Alligator mississippiensis: one gene and its partners. The protein of the gene in region 1 interacts with the protein of each later gene in a biochemical or structural test. Links are inferred from orthologs where the notes say so. Each region holds a gene or a part of one and is shown in the gene's direction. Other genes may lie near its edges.

Region 1 (3,746 bases):
TCTCAGCCGTGGGAGGGAGGCGGCGGGTAGTGCTTAGAGCAGCCGGGACGCCTGGGCTCTTTCCCAGTGCTGAGAGGGGAGGGGAGCGGGGCGGGGGTAGTGGTTAGAGCGGGGCGGGGGGTCGGGGTGGCCGCGGGCCAGGCTGCCTGGGATTCCCTGCCTGCTCCTGGCTCAGCACGGCCGGCCCGCTGACTCAGCCACCTCCGGGCCACATCCTGCCCAGCGCGCCCGGTGCCTGCCCGCCCGCGGCCCGGGGAGCGCTGTCGGCTTCCGTCACCGGACAGCCCGCGCCGGCACAGATGCGGGACTGGGCACAGGCCTACCTGTGCATCCACCCACCTCCCGGCAGCCCCTTTATCCACCCACCCGTCTCCACCTACCAATCTCGTATCCATCCACCCTCCATCCCTTCTCCCACAGACAGAATGAAAATCAGTCATCCATCCCTCTCCAAATATCGCCCTTAAGCTAGCCTTCCATTGCCATAACCCCAATCCAGCCATCTGCCTCTCCCTCCCTTCTTCCAAAGACAGTTTATCTATCTATCTATCTATCTATCTATCTATCTATCTATCTATCTATCTATCTATCTATCTATCTATCACCATAACCCCACCCATCCATCTATCCATCCACCCACCCCACACCCATCCCTCCATCCCCATAGACTCCATCCACCCTCTCAACTATCCTCCTTTCTCTCTCCGCCCATCTCCTCTCTTTTTCACTCTTTTCTCTAATAAAGATGAACAAGCTCTCTATCCATCACGGCTCTCTCTTTCCCCTCCTGCCAGACTGGCGCTCCCCTCCCACCCATGGAGCCCCTTTGGCTCTTAACATGCTGCTAATAAAGTGTGAAGCCCTCCAGCCTGTGGGTTTGTCTGTCTCCCTGCGCTCCCCCCTCCCCTGTCTGCCCTTCTGCAAACCCTCTTCCTGTCTTTCCTCCCTCTCTCTCTCCACTCCCTGTCTTACTTCCCAGACGGCTCCTTCCTCCCTCCCACCCCTCTGCCCGCCCTCTCCTCCCTCCCTCCCTCCCTGGTAGGTGGCTCCAGGCCCCGCCAGCTGGCCCTGCTCAGAGTTATTTTCCCCTCTCGCTCCCAGCCGCCTCGGAGTCCCTTGCGCTGGGGACAGACGAACGGACACACAGAGGCAGGCATGGGCCCCTCTCTGCTCTCGGCTGGCCTGGTGCTGGGCTCCCTGCTCCAACTGGGAGTGGGAGACCCCGGCTTCAGCCCCGAGGTGAGTCTTGGGCCCCTTCACCGTTGGCCAACTGTTGGGTTGGGTTGTTGGCCAACTCTTGGGTTGGGTTGTTGGCCAATGTTTGCCAGAGTCGGCCCAACTTCACACCTCCGCAGGCCACTCTGCTGCTATCCCTTCTTCCTCCCCTGCCCCCCTGCTACCTCCTCCCGCGGCGCTTGTCTGTCTCCACACTTTTCCCCTTCCTTCCCATCCCCCTCTTCTATCCCTTCACGGTGGTTTCTTTCCTCATCTTTTCTTGCCTTGCTGGTGGCTAACTTCCCTCCCACACTTGTCCCCCTGCCAAACTTTCGCATTCCTTTGCTCCCGGCCCTGACTCGACCCTTTCTTCCCCTTCTGTCCCTGCCTTGTGCTTTCTCCCACCATCCTTTCTTCCAGGATGAACCCCAACCCTTGTCCTTGGCACTCCTCCGGTTGGCAAACTTCCACGCTCCCTCCCTCACTCCCCCCCCACCCCGCTGCCTCCCCCCAGCCCTCCTGTGCCCAGATCCCTCGTTTTTCCTTTCATCACTCCATCTGGGATTTTCCACGATCCTTTCTTTCATGGCCAGGGGCAGGTCACGGTGCCAGCCTGCCTCCCACACTCATTCGCTTGCCAAACTTTCACGTTCCTTTGTTTCTTCCCGTCCTGTCTCCAGTTCTTCCCCTCCCATTTTCTTGCTTCTTGCTTCCCCCCGGGGACGTGTCCTCTTGCTCTAGCAGCCCCCATCCTCTGTTCTCCAGCCTTTCCCATTCCCCTCATTCCTGGCTTCCAGTCCTCTGTCTGGTTTTTCCCACTCTCCTTTCTTTTGGAACTGGCCTGGCTGCCCTCCCCCCACTTGTCCTTCTGCCAGACCCGGCACCTTCCCTTGCTCCTCTGCTCTCTTCCAGTTCCCTTCTCACCAGTCTTTCTTTTCTCTTCTGTTCTCGCACTCACACCCCACTTCCATCTCTTCCCTGCAGCCGCCTTTAGTCCTCTCTCCGAGGGCGGGTGAGGGGGGTGTTCAGGGCTGCACTCCTCCATTTCCTAGATTTCCCCTATCCCTCCTTCTTTGGGCTCCCTTCCTGACTGGCTCACCCCGCAGCCAACTTTCACCCCTCCCTCATTCCCTTCCTTCCTTCCTGCTCCCCCCTGTCCTCTCAGAGGGTTCCCCCCGCCCCTGGACACTCGTTTAGCTCTGGATTTTCCCCTTTCCTCCATCCCCCAGGCTGGGTCCATGCCACCCCTGGCCCAGAGCGGGACCCACATCTGGAGCTGGGCAGGAGCCACTGGGGAAACTTGGCAGGGACTCAAGGCGCTGGCTGGCTGCTTGCTTTCATTCGTCCTTTCCAGCTTTCTATATTCATCCAACCAGATTCTTTCTCTATCTGTCCATTTGTCTGTCCTGGTAGCTGGCTGCCCTTGTATATCTCGCCCGCCTGTCTCTTCCTTCTTCCTTTCCTTCCTCATCCATACCCACAGTCTGTCTATCTATCTATTCTTCCCTCCTGCAACTTTCTTTCTTTCTTTCTTTTCCAGACAGCTCCTCTATTCAGCTAGACCCACCACCCCTCCCCTTCTCTCTCCCTCCATCCATATACTTTCAGTCCATCCGTTCCTCCTCCCCCCGCCCTCCGGTTTCCCAATCCTTCCTGGAAAGACAATTACAAATCCCTGGTTGTTTTTCTCCTTCCTCTTGCCAACACCCTTGTCCCCCCACCAAACTTTCTCCTTCCCTCTCTTCCCTGGGCACTGGTCCAGCCCCAGGGGGGACGAGGCCAGGGAAGGCCCCTCTTGGAAAGAAAAAACAAAGCAGAAGGGACAGATGAGTGTAGGGAGAAGGGTGGGGGGAGCATGGTTTCATCCTGTGTGACCTGACCCCCTACTTTGCAGGAAGGAAAGAATGAGGGAGTGAGGAGAGAAGGAAGCAAGCAGCACAGGGCCAGGCTGGCACGGGAAGGTTCCCCTCCCGTTTCCTGTGGGGAAAAATGAATGAGACAGCATGGGGAATAAAGGAATGCAGAGACAGACAGAACGAGACGGCCCCCTGAGCGAAGGAATGTGCGGAGAGACAGAGCGAGACAGGCCCTGGAGTGAACGAATGCAGAGACAGGCAGAATAAAGCAGCTGAGGGATAAACAATGGAGCAGAGAGACACAGCGGGAGGCAGGCCCAGGATAAATGAGTACACAGATAGAGGGAACCGGACAGGCCTGGGATAAATGAATGCAGAGACAGACAGAACAAAACTTGCAGAGAGAAACAGAATGGCACAGGCCCAGGGTAAGCAAATGAGCAGAGAGACGGAATGAGACAGGCCCGGGATAAACTCATGCAGAGGGATAAGCTGGCCTGGAGCGAACAATGCAGAGAGAGACAGAGTGAGACAGCCTTGGCCTAAATGAATTTAGAAAGAGGAAACAGGACAGGCCTGGAGCAGATGAATGCAGAGAGAGGCAGAACACACAGCCCTGGGATAAATGAATGCAGAGCGGGAACGGGATCAGCCCAGAGCGAACGGCTGTAGAGA
Region 2 (3,746 bases), on another chromosome or scaffold:
ATACTACAATAGAATAAGACAGCACACTCCAATCCATCCTGATTGATGGGAAGACAGACACTGTGCAATCCATCCTGGGTGATGGGCAACACATAATGTGTCACTCCAGCAGCAGAGCAGGACTGAACTGTGGCTCAAATATTTCCCATCACTCCCTACGTTCTCATCATTTTATGCAGGGAAATAATCTGTGCCACTCCTTTTCCTGTCTCCAGCGACTTCCCTGGGCATGGAGGCTCAGTTGCTCAGGATAGCATTATCAAGTGTAGCCAACTTGCAGTCTCTTCCTCCTATGGAGGAGGGGAGTAGAGGCTACAGTCCTAAGCATCTCTAGGCCTAACCCCACCCTGTAGCACGTGACTTCTCCTGCAGGCCAAGTCAGAACTGAACATTAGGCTTGACACGTGAATGGGAAATGAAAGTTCTGAAAAAAGTACTAATAAATAAAACCAAACAAAACCTGTCATCTTATCTGGGTTAAAACTCAAGTGTATATACTGCTTCATTCCAGACACCACGCAGCCTGCAGTTACAGATATTGTCAAAGTACCTTGTATATGCTTTCTCTTTTGTATCTCGGTGGGTGTGTCTACACATGCAATTAATGTACATGAATAAACTACAGAACTTATTGCTTATTGCTCTGGAGTTCATTGCTCCTGGGTTCTGTGTCTGCATGCACACCTGGGACCGCAGCATGTTGAGCCCCAGCTGCCAAAAGTCTCGGGGAGGTCAGCCTGCCAGCCCAAAGTTGCTCCCCCTGGCTCAGCATACTGCAGAGGGGCTGGCTGGGGCAAGAGAGTGCTTTCATGTGGTGCTAGCCAGAAGGTAGCCCTTCACAATGAAGTACCCTCATGCCCCAGCTAGCCAAGGCAGCAGCCACATGTGTGCTGCTTCAGAGTAAAAGACTCTGCAGCTTGATAATATTTGTATATAAGAAATACTATCCTGCTGCAGAGTAAACTAGTTTACTCCAGCCTCACAGGGGTGCATGTATAGATGTGCAACATCTACTATGCAGTAAATAGTTCATGTAGACACACCCTGTCTGAGAGAGAGTTTTCATTTCATAAGGCAATAGAGACACAATTTATGAGTATGGACGAAACTTAGGGAAACAAACAATTATGATTCTGCTAATAATTTTATGTTTTTATTGCATTTTTTGGCATTGTCCAGATAAAGCAACGTTTCCATCCAAGCTTAGGATGCATTCTTGAACTATATCCATGAAATAGGGAACAGACAACTCACAGCTGAGTAGTTCCAGATTCTGAAGAGCAGAAAAGTGCTTAAAGAACTAAAAGGGGGGAAAAAAATGACTCAAGTGAATTTATAACCAACTGCAGGAAAGTTTTCATGGGCTGTTTTAATTCAGAAACATCCATACATGAGATCAGAGAACAAGCTTCCAGACTTGGTATTTACTGAGCAGTTAGAAAGAATCACTGGAGTCAACAGTCCTTTATAATGGTTTGAAGAAAAGGTTTACAGAACAAAGAAAGTCCTAATGCAATTTTGGTTCTTCTAGGGACTGGACTTGATTGTTCAAAAGGTCCTTGCCAGTCCAATGTTCCTATCTTAGGATCTTAACCTCAGTTAAGATTCATTAAATTATTGTGGGAATAGTTTTGGAGAAAGAAAAACAAGACAAAATGAATGAGTCATTTGGCTTAGTCAGAATAACTACATTGAGGTTTGAGTGCTATTTTTTTAAATCATGTCTAGTGGTATAAAAGAAGTTGAAAAAGAGAAAAGTTCTGTTTATAATTTGTATATTATTTTAATTTTTTTTCTATACAATATTACATTCCTCCTATAAGGCTATGGCCAATAGTCTGAACTTCTCAGGTCTGTGAAATACTTATCTTTCTCCTATTCCATAGGGATTACAGAAGGGTTGTCCTTCTACAGAATACAGTATCCACCTGCACTTCATTAGAGAGCAGCAGTTGTACATGCCACACCACAAGATCACCATGATGACATAGCAGCTTCAGTCAACAGCGTGACTAGGGGTTTTCTTCTGGTTTTTTTTTTCTTGGGTTTTTTTAGCTTTTGTATTACAGAGGTTCTGGCAGCCAGTTACCTCCTGACACTATTTACAGCATATATTGGTCGATACAGATTCTCTTATTGCATCTGCTCTGGGAATTAAAGAAAGCAGCTTCAAGGCTGTAAGGTAAGTACTGTTGCATGTTTTACCCGTATTGCTCTGCTATTTGAATGTAGCTATAATGAGAACATGAAAACATGTCAGGACAACTTTGCCAATTTGTAAATTGAACACAAATCAGCAGTTGTTTAGTGCAATTTGCTTTCACAGTTTTCTTAAAGTAACCTCACATTTGTGAGTTAGTGTTGCACTTTTTTGTCACATGTATTTTTTTTTTAAAGAGGGAAATCTAACATACAGTGCAAGGAAAATTAAAAAGTATTACTTTTACTCACTCATTCAGGATTCTGTTAGCAACAATACCTTATCCATCTTCTTCATGTTGTAAGTCATTACTGTTCTGTTTTACAGAAGAATGAAGTACATGAACATTTAAGAATTAGGCAGCTGGGAAAAGAGAAATTCTAGCTCATTTGGAATTTTAATTCATTTATCATTTTGAAAACTTTAAAATATCTAATTATAACTTTAAAAAAAATCATCTTTTTCATTACAGCCAGAAGAAAGGGAACTGATGTTGCAGAATCATAATATGCATTTAAATATTGAAGATTATTAATTAATTATTTTTACAATGCTTATATAATTGGTGCAGTCCAGTATTTTAAAGAATATTTTCACTGTGTCTTTTATGGTCTTTGCCAGTCTAGAAAGTATTCTGTGAGGTTTGTAATGATGCACTTTAGCATTTCCCATGTCTTCTATTCAACCTCAAAGAAGTTTTCACATGTATTTTAAAATTACAAATATAATAATCAAAATACTTTATTCAAAAGTTTTTTTTTGCTGTAGGACAAATATTTAAGAACTTCCTCTGACATAATAATTATAATTATCATTTTTCAAGTTAACATTTTAGCGCACATATGATCTCTGGTTGTTTTACATTTTAATAGTGAAACATTTTATATATGCTTATTAAGAATTCAGCAATAAAACTAATTAACTGTTTTACCTATTTATTTGGATAGCTTTAGTAAGCATTACACACATAAACACACATATACAATCACACACAGCTTCACTGCTTAATAATATGCCACATATTTTAATACCATATTTGTAATATTAATTCCAGTCTCTCACTGAATATTTCAAATATGTAATGCCATTAAAAGAAGTGGCCTGTATATGAAATCCAGAATGAAGTAAAGAACCATTTGAAAGTATAAATTAAAACCACAAAAGGAATTTGAAGTTAAGATACACCATCTGTTCTCCTCGATTAATAGGCCTTTACTTATGCCAAAAACAATGCAAATACATAAAAGATTATAAGGCTGAAGAGTGCCAGTCCAAACTCTTGGCCATAATGCTAACTTTCCATGTTTTCAGGAAAACAGTAAGAATTCCATTCTTAATGTTGCTTTACCACACACTGGACCGTATTTGGAGCTGATGTAAAGAAGTGCAAATCTCCTGATTTTGTAAAGACATCCCTACTTAGAGTAGCTGAGGACATGGGCCATGTTGTGATTCAGCTGATGTGTTTTCATACAAAATTTGCTAACAGACAAAGGAAATTACTTTCATACTACCTATGCTAAAACGTGGCCAAATAACAGTTTCT
Region 3 (3,746 bases), on another chromosome or scaffold:
GCCCCCTGAACCCAGGTGTTCTGGAGTCCGGGCCCCATGCCCTCCTATCCTGGTGTTGGGCCAGGCCAGAAAGGGCCTTGGGAAAGCCAGCATGGCGGGAGGTTCCCCAGGAGATGGGCAAGACCCAGGGGTGCATGAGCCCCGGGCAGCGCTTGACCCCTACGTGCACTGTCCCTGTCCAGAGCCATGGGTTGTCCCTGCAGCGGCCCTGATCCATCCCCCTGGGAGTGATTCAGTGGCATGTGGGGGCCCTTCCTGGCCCGGGGCTCCCACAGGATGCCCACATGCCTGCTGCCCCCCAGCCGCCGTGCCCTGGGTCCCAGCTGGAGCCCTGGGCGAGTGCTGCCCCAAGCTGGGCAGTGTGGCCCCATGCCATGCAGGAGCGGGGGGGCAGGTATCCCCCCACTCAGGGGGGCTGGTGGATCCCCGGCGCTGGCGGGGTAGAGCAGTTGCTGCCCATGTGTGCCAGGCCACTGCTGCTGTGCGATGCCAGGCCAAGTCCTGCAAAGGTGGAAGGGGCTGGGCCCCACAGCTCGGTCCTGGCTCTGCTGAGCCTGGGGGCTGTGGGTGCAGCTGCTGCATGAGCCCCCCATGTGCCTGTGAGGTCCTCTCCCAGGCAGCCTTGAGCCCGAGCCCCTGGCAGGGTGACCCAGGCAGCGTGGGACCTCCCAAAGCAAAGTGCGCAGCGCCCTTTTAAGAGCCTGGCTGGCAGGGGATGCTGCACATGAGTCCTCCCCTAATAGCTAACAGCTGGTGCAGAGGGAGGGGGCTGGGCTGCCTGCCCAGGGGCCACCAGCTCCTGTGGCCTTGGCTCCCTGCTGCCCCAGGCATGCCCTGCCCAGCAGTGACAACCCTCCCCACTCCCCCAGGTCCCAGAGGGGACGGGTGAGGATCGGGCCCAGGCGTGGCGTGTCCAGCCTGGCGGCTGTCGGGGTGCAAGGGTCAGGGCCCGGCCTAGCCACTGGCCTTGCGTGGCAGTGGCTGGCTCAGGACAGGCCTCGCTCTGGGAGCCACGGACCTGTGCCCAGCAGGCACCTCCGTCACCCGAGCGCCCTGCTGGGCTCTGGCTCCCAGGCCCTGCGTGGCCGGCGGTGCCTGGGGGAGCCCTGCGATGGGGGCCAGTTTCTGGGAGTCCCCGGAGGGGGCTGCGGCCTCTCCAGAGCCAGCGTCTCCCGCGGGTTCCCCTTTCCCCGCAGCACTGAGTCCCCGCGGGTCCGGGCAGGGGGCACGGCCCGGCTCCCGCGCGCCCCCACGGCCCTCCCTGCCCCCGCGAAGCACCGCCGGCGCCGGCTGCGGGCCAGCCCTTGCCCACGCGTCGGGGTCGCCCCTTCCTCCTGCGGCGCCTGCCCTCGCCCTGGCTGCCACCGCCCGTGCCCGGCGCTCGCATGGCCGCGGCGCGCCGCCGCCCCTGCCCCTCTGCCCCGCGCTGGGGTCGGGGCGGGCGCGGGCGCGGGCGCGGGCCCGGGCCGGAGGGCGCTTTGCCCGGCCCGGTGCGGCCCCGGGCCCAGCCGTCGGGCGGAGGTGGGGCCGGGGCTCCCGCCCCGGGGCACGGCCGCGATGCCCGCCCGGCGGCGCGCGGGGCCGAGCTGCAGCCGGCACTGGCCAGCTGCCACCGGGAGGAGGAGCCGCGGCGCCTTAAAGCCCGGCTCGGCGGCCGGGAGAGGAAAACAGCCCGCGGAGGAGGCACCGCCCGAGCCCGAGCCGGAGCCGGAGCCCTGCATGCCGCAGCGCTGAGCCCCGCCGCCCGCACCATGAGGGCCCCCGCGCCCGGCCCGCGCGCCTGGCTCGCCCTGCTGCTGCTGCTGCTCGCCGGGGCCGGGCGCCTGGCCCGCGCCTGCAGCTGCTCGCCCGTGCACCCGCAGCAGGCGTTCTGCAACGCCGACCTGGGTAAGCCCCGCGCCGCGCCGGGCCGAGCCGGGCCGGGCCGGGCCGGGCCGGGCCCGCCGCACACGGAGCGGGCAGTGCCGCGGCGGCCCGGCTGCCTCCTTCGCCGTCTCCCTCCCTCGCCTCGCGCTGGGGCGGCGGCCGCGGGGAGGGTGTCCGCAGCGGTCACTCCGGCCTCCGGGAAGGGGCGTCTGCCTGCCGGACACGTCGGGGGCCTTGACGGGAGAGTGCGTGCACACGTGTGTGCGCGGTGGGTCTGCCTGCCGGGCGCGAGTGTGTGTGTCTGGGGGGTGTGTCTGCCGGCCCCGGGCCCGGGCCCGGGGGGTGCGTGCCCGTGGGCGGCGGAGCCTCCCCCCGCCTGCCCCGCACGTGGGTGCGCGGGGATGGAGAGGCCTGGCCCTGCGTCCCCGCCGCGGGGTCCGGCTGGCTGCGGCGGAGCCCGCCCGGCGAGGAGGAGCGCGCCGCGTTGCCATCTTGATTCAGTCGGTGCCTAGCAGCGGTGGGGCCAGGGCGCAGGCCGTGGCCAGCCTGGGAGCCAGGGCCGGGTCACCTCCGCCTGCTCCTTCTTTCCAGGCATTTCCTTTCTTCCGTCCCATCTCTCTCGGCTTGGATGCTGCTGGAAGGCCGGGCTTGGCAGCCCCGGGATCCGGATTCCTCTTCCATGAATAATGCCCTTATTAAATTGTACCATATTAAACAAACAGGCCAGGCCGGGCCGGCGCGGCCATTCCCAGCCCCGCGGCCTGGCGGGCAAGGGAGCGCGGTCAGTCTGAGACGCGTAGGCAGGCCGGTCACCCGGAGCTCGGCCCACACCCATCCGTCCGCCGCGAGGATGCTCCGCCAGCGCTCCCGGCTTCCCACGCCCCCGGCCAGCGCCCCTGCTCCGGCCCCCGGCCCCGGCCGCTGCGGCTTCTCAGCAGCTGGCGTCAGTCTCTGCCGGGGCTGCCGGGGGCTCGGCCCACTATGGCCGAGGTTCAGGGAGCGCTGGAGGGACGGGAGAAACGGTTTCTCGGTGTAGCGGAGCCCCAGGTCTCCTTCCGGCTGTTTGCCCGGTGGCTGGGGCAGTGGGAGCCGGACTGCAGGTCAGCTGGCAGAGGCACGTAGGACACCTCCCCGCCCTGCCCCTTCCACCTCGGCCCCCTGCTCTGGGGATGCTTCCTCGGGCTCCAGCACGTGGTTCCAGCCCCACGGGCTCGGGCGGGTGGTGACAGCAGGGGATGCTGCTGGGAGCAGGGCAGTGAGCTCCCACGTGCCCGTGTGGGGCAGCCAGCAGTGTTGAGGCATATAGGGCCCCAGTTTGGGCAGCACAGGGCTCCCCAGATCCTACATGAAGCTCGGGGCAAGGGGCTCCATGGCCCACAAGCTGCTCTGGGTACCAGGCCGCGCTCCCCTGCCTTGGCACTGGCGGGGCAGGCCGGACGCATTCCTGCACACTGCCCTGCTGGGAGCTGGCTGCCGGGGCCACCGCCGCTCGGGGACAAGCCAGGGCCTGGTGACAAGCAGGTTAGCGAACATGGCCTCGAGGAGGAGGACAGGGTAGTTTAGTCTGAGCCGGAGCTGGCAGAGGGGCAGGGAAACGGCCCAGTCTGTCCGGCTTCAGGGGTCTGTGTGTAGCTGAGCGGGGGCTGGAGGTGGGTTGCTGCTTCTGTGCTGCTCGCCCTCCCCACCCCAACTAAGCACTGGGGATGCAGCCATGCAGGCCAGGGCTGGGCACTCGGTTGCAGCCTGGCACCGAGGGGGCCGCTCCGGGAGCTCTGGGTGTCGTGCTTCTAGCGGGGCAGGCGAGGGCTGCCGGTTCCTGGAACCGGTGTCACCGGCTGTGTGCTCAGAGCAGCAGCAGTGACATGGGCATCGCATTGGCA

What was found. The genes of interacting proteins can lie anywhere in the genome.
Region 2: the proteins of MMP14 (region 1) and LUM interact in a biophysical measurement, tested with the Homo sapiens proteins (2 studies listed by BioGRID and IntAct, with this or other methods). The link is inferred for Alligator mississippiensis from reciprocal best matches to the Homo sapiens genes MMP14 and LUM.
Region 3: the proteins of MMP14 (region 1) and TIMP2 form a complex in vitro, tested with the Homo sapiens proteins (2 studies listed by BioGRID). The link is inferred for Alligator mississippiensis from reciprocal best matches to the Homo sapiens genes MMP14 and TIMP2.

The regions. Positions count from the first base shown.
Region 1 is NC_081830.1:7,283,119-7,286,864, reverse strand, and holds the start of MMP14 (matrix metalloproteinase-14), read left to right. Parts: upstream 1-1,027; 5' UTR 1,028-1,155; coding exon 1,156-1,239; intron 1,240-3,746.
Region 2 is NC_081827.1:86,438,938-86,442,683, reverse strand, and holds the start of LUM (lumican), read left to right. Parts: upstream 1-1,459; 5' UTR 1,460-2,182; intron 2,183-3,746.
Region 3 is NC_081831.1:751,499-755,244, reverse strand, and holds the start of TIMP2 (metalloproteinase inhibitor 2), read left to right. Parts: upstream 1-1,370; 5' UTR 1,371-1,385; coding exon 1,386-1,887; intron 1,888-3,746. UniProt on the Homo sapiens protein: Complexes with metalloproteinases (such as collagenases) and irreversibly inactivates them by binding to their catalytic zinc cofactor. Known to act on MMP-1, MMP-2, MMP-3, MMP-7, MMP-8, MMP-9, MMP-10, MMP-13, MMP-14, MMP-15, MMP-16 and MMP-19.